Linked DNA regions of Caenorhabditis elegans. The protein of the gene in region 1 purifies or fractionates together with the protein of each later gene. This does not show direct contact. Each region holds a gene or a part of one and is shown on either strand. Other genes may lie near its edges.

Region 1 (4,838 bases):
CAAAAACTCAAACTTTGCAGAAAAAAGGTGCGGTGAGTGTCCAAGGCGCGGCGTCCTAGAAACTATCGCCAGGACGGAAGGGCGCAATCCGAATGCAATGTGATCTACATATACAATGAATTGTCGACCCCAACACCGATTGACGACGCGACTAGAAGAAGAAGAAGAAGTTAGAAGGGGGAGGAGGAAGGGAAAATGAGGGGAGATGAAGAAAAATGGTTGTAGAATTGAAATGGATTGACAGTAAGGCTGAAGAAGTAGGGGGGAATGGGGAACGGAAGCAGAATGACATTTTCGTTTTGAAATGTTCTCGGTAACTTTTCGACTATTACAGAAATTTTTCTCAGAAAACTTGAACATGGTGCATCAGGTAAAAAAATCGATATTTTTTGAAGGAGCAGCAATAATTTTGTCTAGAAAAATAAATCCGAACATGGTGCATCGACTGGAAAAGTCCGATAAGTTTGGCGGTAAAACCTGAAAAATATGTGAGAGCCAAAGAAATTTTTTGAACATGGTGCATCGGACAAAATTTGTCATAGGAAATGACGTTCTTTTTGGCATTTTATCATATTTTTTCAAACAGAGAAAAAATTTCACTTTACTAGCACAAATTTTGAATGAATAATATACTGATAACCCTTAATATGTATGTAAAAGTGACAAGTTTCAACCGTAAACTTAAAAATTGCTAGTGTAGTTTTCAGTCGATGCACCATGTTATAAAATTACATCCAAGGTTACAGGGACCCCACAAAAAATTTTCTTTTTAAAAAACCTTCTAATCTTATTGATAATTCCCTGCTAAACACAAATACAATCACAGAAAGTACGATTTTGGTGCCGAAAAAGGGAGAAAAAGAGAGTGAAGCTGTGTTTATTTGCGCTTTCCGCCCTTCCCCAACTACCGCTTTTGCCTATTAAATTGGCGAGAAGTGAACGATAAGGAAAGAGCGGAGAACCGACGATCAGAAAGTTTGTGCAATTTTATTAATAAAACTGTTCGGAACCATTATTATATTAAAACCAGGGCTCCCATGTAGGCGCCGCGATCCGACATTTTTTGGGTTTCGCGCATTGCTATTAAGATTTCGGATCCCGGCGTGAGGGCGGCGTTTGCGGCACCCACATGGGAGCCCTAATTGAAAATTTAAAGAGTAAATCGATAGAAAATCCAATTTTCAGAATTCATTTCTCAAGTTACATGCTCTCAAATTTTGAGCACTAGAAATTGAAGACAGTCTGCACTCTCCCCTCGTCCCACACTCTCTCGGCTTTAAGTTCTATAAGCTTGTATCTCTGCGGTAGATTACTGTTATAAACGACAAAAAACTGGCTGAAGTATTGGGAAAATTTGAAAGAAAAAAAATTTTGCTGTTTTTCTGAATCAAATTCAAGCACAAACTGATATGTTCAAAAAGATGTGTCATACTGGCATTTCTGAAATGTTCACAATTTTTCTGTAAACTGATAAGAAACTTTGGCGAAAAAAAAATCGGATTTTGTAGTTTTTAAGAGAAGTTTTTGAGAGAGAGTAGAAAATTAATTTTTTTGAAATCAATTTTTAAAAATACAACGTCTTAAAAAAGTAGGCATAATCAGTGTGAACGGACCAATTTAATAAAAAAAAATGTTTTTAAAATATATTATAGAAATTTCCACTCCATTTTTGAATTTTAAAATTAGAGCGCATTTACCAAAACATACTAACGTGCGCCCAGCAAACCCACTAGGTAACCCTGTTTTTTAATTCTGCGTCTCTCTCTCTCTCTCTCTCTCTCTCTTTCACTCTCTCTATACACCTCCCGCCACTCCTTATTAGTATCCACCTCTACATTAGCAACAAATGACTAATTCAAGTGTGTTCGGAGGGTGGGTGAGCCGCTTCCGCCGTTACTTTGTGATCGCCCGCCACCCCCCGATCTTGCTTACAACTACTAAATTATGTATGCGGGAGACGAGAAGGTATATGTGATATGCGAAAATGTATGTAGGAACGAGTAGAAATGTTTGGTGGGGGGGAGGGGGGGGATCATTAGATTTTATTAAAAATTTGAGAAAAATCCAAGGATTTTCCACATCGAAACTATAAAATTGCACTAGAAGTTGGCAAACGCCAAATTTCAAATTCATCCGAACTTTAGAAATTTCGGAATTTTACCGAATTTCAAAAAGTATCGGGACCGCCCATCTGTGATCATGCCAGTATCAGTACCCCAATATCGATACAAATGATATTATGGTCCGACATCTAACGGGTTTCGCGCCCCACCCAGGCAATTGCAAATAAAATATAGTGCGGCGCAAAACCCTGCGGACGTCTTGCCATGATATCAATTGAAATCCCTATTTTTGCATATTCCCAGAAAATAATCCTTAAAGTGGTTGGGCCCGGAATTTCGTCAAATTTTGGAGTTTTGAAACTGCGGCGGTCTCGAAAAATTCTAGGTTCTGGAAATTCGTGGCGTGGGTGCTTTAGAGCTGTAACAGAATTTGGAAAAATTTTATATTTCCAATTTTTTCCAAATTAGGCATAATCCTGGTATCTTGGAACTTTGACATATTTTTTAAAAGTTCAGCAATTTGAAGCAGCGCCCAATTTTGAAAATCTGAAGTTTCGTGCCATTTTTCTCATTTTGGTGGAAACCTTCTAACCTTTTCACAGTGTGAAGTGCATAACATTACAATTTTAGGCACATATGTACATACTTTTAATCAGTAGATTTTTTGAAATGTTGAACTAGGAAAAAAGGAGGATTCACGGTTTAGAATCGTAAAAAATTCAGCTCAACATTTGGTGATTTTGGCCATTTTTTTAGACCCGCGGTTTTTTCATTTTAGTAGCCTGTTTTCTTATTTTAAATTTTAGTTTTTACCAAGGATTCAATAAAAACTTACCCATAGCTGGTCCCAACTGCAACTGTCGTTCATTGTTCGCCGCTTCTTCAAAAGGTTGTTACCATCCAATCCAATCTCGATTCCTTCTTTTTATGAACACTAATTGGAACTTTTTCGAGTTGAAGTCTGAAAAAAAACTCAAAACGTTAACAGCAATGAGCAGCACAAAAAAGATCCGAACAAACGAGAAGGAGAAAAAAATTGAAAACTTTAGTTCGTAAATAGGAACAAAAACAGTAATCTAAGCTGTTGACGGTTGGGCGTGTCGTGGAGCAAAAATGGAGAGCAATTTGTGGTTGGTGCTCATGGCACCGGGAGGCGGAAGGAAGCATAGGTATAATTGTGGGGGCTCAGGAGGGGGGGGTAAATTTTTTGTGGAAGAGCAGAGTATTTGGAGTGCTATGGGAGGTTGAAAAAAGGTGGAGAAAATTATTGCAAAATTGAGAAATTAATAGAAAAAATCAAGCTTAATCAAAAAAAAAACATTTCGCTAAAACGTGCTAGATTATTCGAAAAATCGGAAAAAGTTTAATAGCCGAAAATGGCCTAAAACCTCCAATTTTCAAACTTTTCCATATGGTATAGTTCACGGTTACCAGGTACCAGAAATTTTCAGCTACCGAATTTACAAAAATAGCATCAGCAAATAGTGAAAAAATTAAGAAAATCAGCAAACAATTTTTCACTTATTTCCGTTGAAACAGGCTAGACCCCAAAGAAACATTCCAATCCCAAATTTATCCGAGAACAGCAACACAGAAAAAAACAAGATAGGCGGTCACGAGAAGTGGGGTCCGCGGTCAGCTCGAGCACCCAGCTCGAGCTGCAGCAGCTCGGACCTCGAAAAGTAGCTCCCAAGAGAAGAAGAAAAAGAAGAGACGCTATTTCTCGCCCAATAGCATATGTATACACATGTGTGCGTCTGCGTATCTTGCTATCTAGGATAGACCTCGGGGTCCCGGGGTTTTCGGAGATATTGATGAGCGAAAAATGAAGAGTTTACAACAATACGCACGGCGCGAGATACCTAGTCTAATCAATTTTTTTCGAATTACGTTGAGGGAAATCTCGTAATTTTGAGTCTGAAGCTAAGCCTGAAATTAGGCCCGAGCTTGCCTAAAAGCTAAAGGGTAACCTAAAAGCTTAGTCTGTACCGAGGGACTCAGTTTTTGAAGAAGGGCATTAAGCTAAGAGCGCAGCCTAAAGGCTTAGACTTCAGGTGCCCAGCCATTACTTTGGGCTTCTTTGGGGCTTGGCGTTCGTGGGCTCAGAATTATCCTTCAACTACGGGGCTTAACCTTCTTGGTCTCAAACTTTGAAGGATGATAAGCCTGACCTCAAGGATTTTAAAATAAGCCTAACCTCAAGGAGCGGAAAAAATGGAGATGCGGCTTTCAAGGGCTCAACCGCCTAAATGCCTAAATAAAGAAAGTAAAAGTTAGCCTAAATGGCTTAGTTTTTGAAGGCTCAACTTTCTGGGTCTCCACTTTTTGGCCCTGACATATATTTTAGCCTTAACTTCACCATCTGCCTTGGCCCGAAAAAAAAAAAAAAAAACCTAAAGCTGACTAAAATATATATATATATACTGGTTTCAAAGGACTTCCAAAAAAGCCCTACAATCACTCTCAGAAAAAACTACCCAAAAAATGCTATGCTTGTCGTACCCGACGTTTCTCAAGGTAATATGCAAAACAGGCCTCCTTTTGTCCCCCCTCCTGCCTCGCCAATCTTTCCATGGCCAAACGCAAAAGTTCAAGTGACCCGCCAAATCGACGACAACACATAGGTAGTCGTGTCTCGGAAGGTTGAGTAGAAAAAAAAGAAGAATGGGGAAAAGGAGGCGAAGAAAATGTATTCGGAAGTTAGTAATGAAAGGTAGTACACCTAAGACAAGGTGACATTGGGACTGAGAATCGGTGACAAGGGGGTAAAATTCG
Region 2 (7,357 bases), on another chromosome or scaffold:
AATTTCGAATTTTTCAGCTGAAAACTGAGCTAAAATGAGCCAAAAAACACGATTTTCAATTGAAATTTCGAGAAAAAAAAAGCTAAAAATTGAATTTTCGAATAATTTGGGAATTTTGGAGCTCCGATGCGTAGAAAACAAATTTTTGCATGAAAAATTGCAATTTTCTGCGAAAAATCAAGAGTTTTCCAGGAAATATGTCCAAATTCCGCTGAAAATTTAAATATTTTCGTAAATTCGAGAGAAATGATGCAAATTTCATAAAAATGTGCTCCAAATTGGAAATTTCACGTTTTTTTTCCGGAAAAATCGATTTTTCACCAAAAATTGAAAATTTTAAGCGAAAATTGAAGTTTTCCTACATTTCAAAGGTTTAAATTGATTTAAATTGAAAAAAAATCGAATAAAAATTGGAAAAACTGATGAATCATAAAATTGCGAAATAATAATGAGGGGGCAGGCGACCACTTGGAAATTTAAATTTACAATTCTGGAGGGGCAAAAAATGAGAAAAATCAGTTCATTTGAAACAGGAAAGCGGAAAAAATTTTAAAAATTTTTGAATAAATAAATTAAAGCAAGGCAGTATTTACACAAGAAAATTCGAAAAAGTGTGCGTCGATTTACGCAGCTCGTGTAGTCCCCGAGGAGAAGATTTTACAGTTTTTTGGCTTAAAAATGCTTGATTTTCGCTATTTTTCTATCAAAATTAACATTTAAACCGGTTATTTATAGCGTTTTAAGTGAAATTTGAGCGATTTTAAAGTTTTCACCGACAAAAAAAAACCGTGAAAATAGCGAAAATGGCTCAAAATCAACCATTTTAGCAAAAAAAAGTACTTGATTTTGAGCCATTTTCGCAATGTTCACGGTTTTTTTTTTGGCAAAAATCAATGAATTATTTTTATTTTTAACTTTAAAAACACTCAGATTTCACTTAAAAGTGCATAAATAACCGCTTTGAATGTTAATTTTCAAGTAAAAATAGCGAAAATCAAGAATTTCAGCGAAAAATCGTTTTTTTTTTCACCGAAAAAATCAGTAAAAATGCAAAAATGGGTAATAATGCTTGATTTAGAGCTATTTTCACGGGTTTTTCGCTTAAAAATCACCGCTTTGAATGTTAATTTTCAAGGAAAAAATAGCGAAAATCAAGCATTTTTAGCCAAAATCTGTAGAATCTTCTCCTCGAGGAGTACACGAGATCTGCGTAAATCGACACAAAAGAGAGCAATTAATCATCCCATTCATCATCATCAGCTCCTTCTTCACTACTTGAATCATCATTTCCCATAACTTGATCCATTCGTCTCTTCAATATCGCCGCAACATTATTCGCCTCGAGAGCAGCATTCTCGGCGGCTTCTGCCTCGGCTCTTTGCACTTTTTTCAGCTTTATTCCAGATTGAATTTGAGCCAAAAGATCACTTCGAGCATCTGGTTGTTTTGGAGCAACTGGGGAATTTGTGCCAGCAGCTTCACCGTCCGCGGATGGCTGAAAATTTCAGTTTTAGTGGGAGAAAATCGATTTTTTGATGAAAATTCGGCTATTTCTCTTGAAATTTGTCCCTAAAAAAGCTTCAAAAAAGTCCAAAAAACACAGGAAAACTACACATTTTCAGCGGGTTAGACACACATAGAGCCCTGCTGTTCCAGCGCCTTTACCTTTGGAGCCGGAGCTGCAAATGACGCTGCAGCCGAGCTTATAACCATTGGAGGTGGTGGTGGAGGTGGTGGAGGGATCTGAAAGGGATCGAGAATTGAAGAAAGAAGCGGAAAGTGGACAACAATGAGGGAAACACAAAAATGGACAAAAATTGCAAATTTTTAACTGAAAAATTCGGGGTTTTAAGCTTGGAAATTGCAGAAATATAGCTTCAAATTAATTTTATGCACTACAAGAAATCTTGGAGCTTTTCACAAATTTCCAAGCTTTTCCAAGCTGTTTCAAGCTTTTTAAGCTCATCGAAGATATTTCAAGCTCAGTCAGGCTTTTTTAGCTTTTCCAGGCTTTCGCAAGCTTTTTCGAGCTCGTCTAAGCTTTTTGACGCCTTTTCCAAGCTCTTTCAGGCTTTACAAGCTGTTTCAAGCTCGCACGAGCATTTTGAAGTTTTTCCAGGCTTTTTTAAGCTCTGTAAGCTTTTCGAAGCCACTATCGTTCTCTTTCAAGCTGTTTCAAGCTGTTTAAGCTCATCGAAGCTATTTCAAGCTCAGTCAGGCTTTTTCAAGCTTTGTCAAGCTTGTTCAAGCTCCTCCAAGCTTTTTCAAGGCGTTTCCAAGCTTTTTCAGGCTTTTCCCAACTCTTTCAGGCTTGCTCAAGCTTGGTCAAGCTTGTTCAAGCTCCTCCAAGCTTTTCCAGGTTTTTCCAGGCTTTTTCAAACTATTATAAGCTCGTTAAGCTCATTCAAGCTATTTCAAGCTCTGTCAGGCTTTTCCAAGCCTTTTCAAGCTATTACAAGTTCGTTTAAGCTCTACAAGCTTTTCCAGGCTTTTTCTTGCTCTTTCAAGCTTTTCCAAGCTTGTTCAAGCTTTCTTAAGCGTTTTGGAATCTTTTCCTGTCTTTTGCAGGCCTTTTCAAGCCTTTTCCAGGGTTTTCCAAACGTTTTCAAGCCATTTCAAGGTTCTCCAAGCTTGTTCACTATTTTTTCAAGCTCTTTAAGCTTCTCCAAGCTAGTTCAAGCTCTGTCAGGCTTTCCAAACTTGTTCAAGCTTTATCGTTCTCTTTCAAGTTCTTCCAAGCTAGTTCAAGCTCTGTCAGGCTTTTCCAAGCTTTTCCAAACGGTTTCAAGCCGTTTCAAGCCTTTCTAATAGAGTTCAACCAATTTTTCGTGATTTCGTGGCCCAAATGAACAAATTAAAGCGAAAAAGCGAGATTTTGCCTGAAAAAGGCTTAAGGCTTCTAAACGCTCATAATAACTTAGAATAATAGAGACTTTTCACATTTTCTAGTTTTTTCAAGCTTTTCCAAGCTTTTTCGTCGTGAAAACGGACAATTTAAAGCAAAAACGCAAGCTTTTTTCCTCGCAAAAACCAAGATTTTACTCCAAAATCTCCAAATTCTCTCGAGCTCCAAAACGTACATTAGTCGGCGGAGCAGCACTCGGCTCGACAAACTGTATCGTCGACGGAGCTTCTGCTGGTAACTGATGTACAATTGATGTATTCATGAGAAGCGGTGGTGGTGGTGGTGGAAGATCATCATCATCATCATCAATCGATAAAATTGACATATCCGGTGGTGGGAGGTGATCCAGATTCACTGGCGGCGGAGCTTCAGTCGGACGTTTAACATTCGGAGATCCACGAGCTGCTGCTGGAGCACCACCTCGTTGTTGGCTCGGATGCACATTTTGTTGAGGATGATGGTGCATTGTCATTCCGATTGGGGCAACCATGTTGGAGGGGTGCTGAATTTATCAAAAATTGGGAGATTTTCAGTGGAAAAAATCGTTTTTTTCTTCAAAATTACTCCCAGAGAAGGATATTTGGGCTTAATTATCGATTTTTCAGAGTTTTTTTGTCATTTGGAGCATGAAATTTCTTAAAAATTCACTGAAAACTTCCAAAAAACTCGAGTTTTCAGCCTCAAAGACAAGCCAAAATCAATGAAAAACGTTTTTCAACAGAAATGTTTCACTTTTTCACTAAAAATATGCTGAAATTGATAAGTTTTTTTGGAAAAATCCCTAGAAACCGTACAAATTAATTATAAAAACCCTATAAAATCGAATTTTTCAACGAAATCCTCTAGAATCCATAACTTTTCAGCTTCAAAATTATTTGTTCCCATTGAAACTTTCGACTTTATAGGATTTTTATAGTTAATTTGTAGGGTTTCTAGCGATTTTTCCAAAAAAAAAATTATCAATTTTCGCATATTTTTAATGAAAAAGTGGCACTTTTCTGTTGAAAAATTATTTTTTCTAAGGAATTTCCCACTAATTTCATTGATTTTCGCTTGTTTTTCGGTGAAAACTCGGCTTTTTGGAAGTTTCTAGTGAATTTTTATGAAATTTCAAGCCCCAAATGGCTAAAAAACCCAAATATTGGCCCAAAATAGAGAATTTTTGCCTTCTCGGGGAGCACAAGAGCTGTGTAAGCGCTGAAATCTCGTTGAAAAGTTGATTTTCTTTTTAAACAATAGAAAATTCACTTTTTCAGCAAAAAACTCGATTTTTTTTCAAATTTTTGGGCTCAATTATCGATTTTTTCCGATTTTCAACGGTAAAAAATCATTTGAAGCGGAAAAGCTGGGACTTCGTTGAAAAATTCGATTTCATAGTTTTTTTGAAGTTAATTTGTAGGGTTTCTAGCGATTTTTCCAAAAACTTATCAATCTTCGCAGATTTTAATGAAAAAGTGACTTTTTCTCATTGATTTTGGCTTGTTTTTTGGCGAAAAAGTGCATTTTTAGGAAATTTCATGCTCCAAATTACTGGAAACCCATAATTTTGCCCCAAAATAGAACATTTTGGCCTGCTCGGGGAGCACAAGAGCTGTGTAAGCGCTGAAATCTCGTTGAAAAGTTGATTTTCTTTTTAAACAATAGAAAATTCACTTTTTCAGCAAAAAACTCGATTTTTTTCAAATTTTTGGGCTCAATTATCGATTTTTTCCGATTTTCAACGGTTTGGAGATTTTCTCTTCAAAAAATCGAAAAATCTCGCGAAAATCTACCTGATTTTTAAAGTTAAGCTGAAGCCCGAGAGCCTGCGGAGCCTGATATTCCTCCGGGAACGAGAAAACTTCATTCTGCTGATTAATCCGTGATCCACTAATCTGTCGATTCCTATGCTGCATATCATTATAGGCCGTCGTGCCGAGAGGGCCTTGTCCAGGCTGCTTCCGCCGCTTTTTCGGGCTTTTACTCCCGTCGTTCGGGCTTTTTACCCGTCTGGGCCGTTCGGCAACCTCTTTTAGTGTCTCCTTTTTCCATAAATCGAAGAAAAACGAGGGATTTGTGTAGAGAGAGAGCGCAGGGATTTCAGAGTCTCTATACGGATTTAGAGCATCAAGATCCGGCGGTGGATCACATTTTGCATATATTTCAGTCAATGCTGTAGGTAAAGTGCTTCTATCCAGAATATGTTGATCTACAAGCATTGAACTTTTGAATGCTTTTCGCATATTCGCTTCATTCAACGTTGCTTGATCGGAATTTGAATCCAAATCTTCAACTTTCTTGTGCAATCTATCAATTCTCTGTTGAAGAGTGTTCGATTTGTGATTTATTATCATTGCGTCGTGATAAATCTCTCCGAAGATGTTCTCAGCGTGCTTACTGCAAAAAAAAATCGATAAAATTCCAGTTTTCCGACCTAATTTCCCACCTCAACGAGCTCAATTGTCGTACTAAATTGGCGATTGTCCCATTAGCAGTACATTGAAGCTCATCACGATGGATTGTTGATGGAATTGTGCCTCTGCTGAGGTTTACCGGTGATACCGCCCGTTTTGTTAGAGGCATTGCTGAAAATGTGCAGAAATTGCGGGATTATGTGGGTGGAAATTGCGAGAAAGCGTTAGAATTCACAGAAGATGACTTGAAATCGAAAAAAAATCACTTTCTTCCCTGAATAATATGTAAAAATCCATGGATTTAATGGAAATTGGCACGAAAATCGTGAAAAAAATTAGTTAAACATAAAAATTCACTGGAAACTTCATAAAAGCGAGCAGCCAAAATCAATGAAATTAGTTGGAAAATTCCACGAAAAACTCTAATGTTAATGGTAAACACGAAAATGCACTGGAAAAATTATAAAATTGAGTTTTTTAAACAGAAAAGCCACTTTTTTAATAAAATTATGCTGAAATTGGTAACTTTACCGGGAAAAATCGCTAGAAAACATATAAAATTGCTTCATTTACATGCTAAACCCACAAATTCACTGAAAAACTTATAAAACCTAATTTTCCAACGAAATATCATAAAATACATAGTTTTTCAGCTTCAAAATTATTATTTCTGTCAGAAAATGTTTTTTTTCATCGGAAAAACTGCAAAAAACGAGGAAAAACCAATAAAATCTCATGTTTTTCAATTAAAATATCATTAATCCAGAAATGCGCCAAGGTGCACCCGGGATGCGTCAGCAAACACTCACGAGAAGTGCGCAAGCGAGCGTCTGCACTCTCTCGAATACATACAGTGTCTCGCTGTGATTCATCGGAAATATTTTCATTTCCGGAAATGTTTTATATTTATTTAAATATTAATTTTTTTCGGTCTAAAAAATGATATACAAAACAAAAAATCGATACAGGAAAATGCGAAAATAGAATGAGATTGAAATTTCAATATTTACTGTTCAAAATATTCAAAATATCGTGAAATGGCGAGGTTTCGGAGAGATGGTCCTTTTTATTTATCAATGAAATTGTTCTAATTCTGAGAAAAATAACAAAATATAGCTAAATTCTCAATTTTCGCCAACTTGGTTGTGTCACAGAAGCTAAAATTCATTTCGAATACCGAGCCCGTACAGTAGTCATTTAAAGAATTACTGTAGTTTTCGCTACGAGGTATATTTCGCGTCAAATTTGTTACGTAATAAGCATTTCACTTTCCCAACAATTGCCGATTTCTTCTCCAAAATATCCCTCCCGTAAACCTACACAAAATCGACCGTAGTGCGGCACGTTCGCTGCGAGACCCGCCGCGCGTTTGGCCTCAATCTTTTTAGGACTGCCAAATTCGATCGAACATTTTTAGTCTGTCTTCCACGCGGAAACACACTCGTTTTTCTTCAAAAAAAAATCTATCATGGCTTCCCAAGGATTCTCCGTCTACGGTAAGTATAGTAATAAATCGGTGGTGAAAATTAAATTTAAATTTGTACAAATTTTGAATATGATACAAAATTCTCAAAACTTCTGAAACTTTCTCACACTTTTCTTCGATGAACTTTTCTTCGACTTGCAGAAAGTATCGATTTCTGATAATTGTTAGCGTTTTCCGATCGGCCTTCGTTCTCTATGGTTCATTCGTGTTCCTTGACAACAAATCCCGATATTTCAGGTAGTCCCCTTCCACGTGTATAAGTATAACTGAGTCTACTAACTGAGTACCCGGGACCCCACACGGATCGCCACACAATTCTGGAAATGGAGACGCCGTTCGACCACAAAAAGTATGGGTGAAGAGACTTTTCGCACTGTCATGGTCTCCGTAGTCTAGGACTAGGATAGGGTGCATTTGCTCTGTAACAGTGCATTGTGAGAGTTTGTAACTTTCTATATATAGGCCAAAACCTACTATTACCCCCGTTTTGCTAATCGATTTTTTTCTAGTTGGAAACGTTCCATACCAAGGAACTGAGGAGGAGATCGGAAACTACTTCGCCGCCGTCGGACA

Evidence for each region. The genes of interacting proteins can lie anywhere in the genome.
Region 2: the proteins of toca-1 (region 1) and wve-1 purify together in Caenorhabditis elegans (affinity purification with western blotting, with the first as the bait; one study listed by BioGRID). This does not show direct contact.

Annotation. Positions count from the first base shown.
Region 1 is NC_003284.9:1,518,464-1,523,301, forward strand, and holds the start of toca-1 (Transducer of Cdc42-dependent actin assembly protein 1 homolog), read right to left. Parts: upstream 3,025-4,838; 5' UTR 2,932-3,024; coding exon 2,899-2,931; intron 1-2,898. UniProt on the Caenorhabditis elegans protein: Plays a role in protein trafficking, actin organization and embryonic morphogenesis. Potentially acts as a cdc-42 effector. May play a role in hypodermal P-cell nuclear positioning.
Region 2 is NC_003279.8:11,924,041-11,931,397, forward strand, and holds wve-1 (Wiskott-Aldrich syndrome protein family member), read right to left. Parts: upstream 5,477-7,357; 5' UTR 5,468-5,476; coding exon 5,331-5,467; intron 5,282-5,330; coding exon 4,678-5,281; intron 3,408-4,677; coding exon 3,081-3,407; intron 1,744-3,080; coding exon 1,666-1,743; intron 1,496-1,665; coding exon 1,235-1,495; 3' UTR 501-1,234; downstream 1-500. Other genes in the region: R06C1.4 (RRM domain-containing protein), read left to right, coding at 6,767-6,794, 7,294-7,357.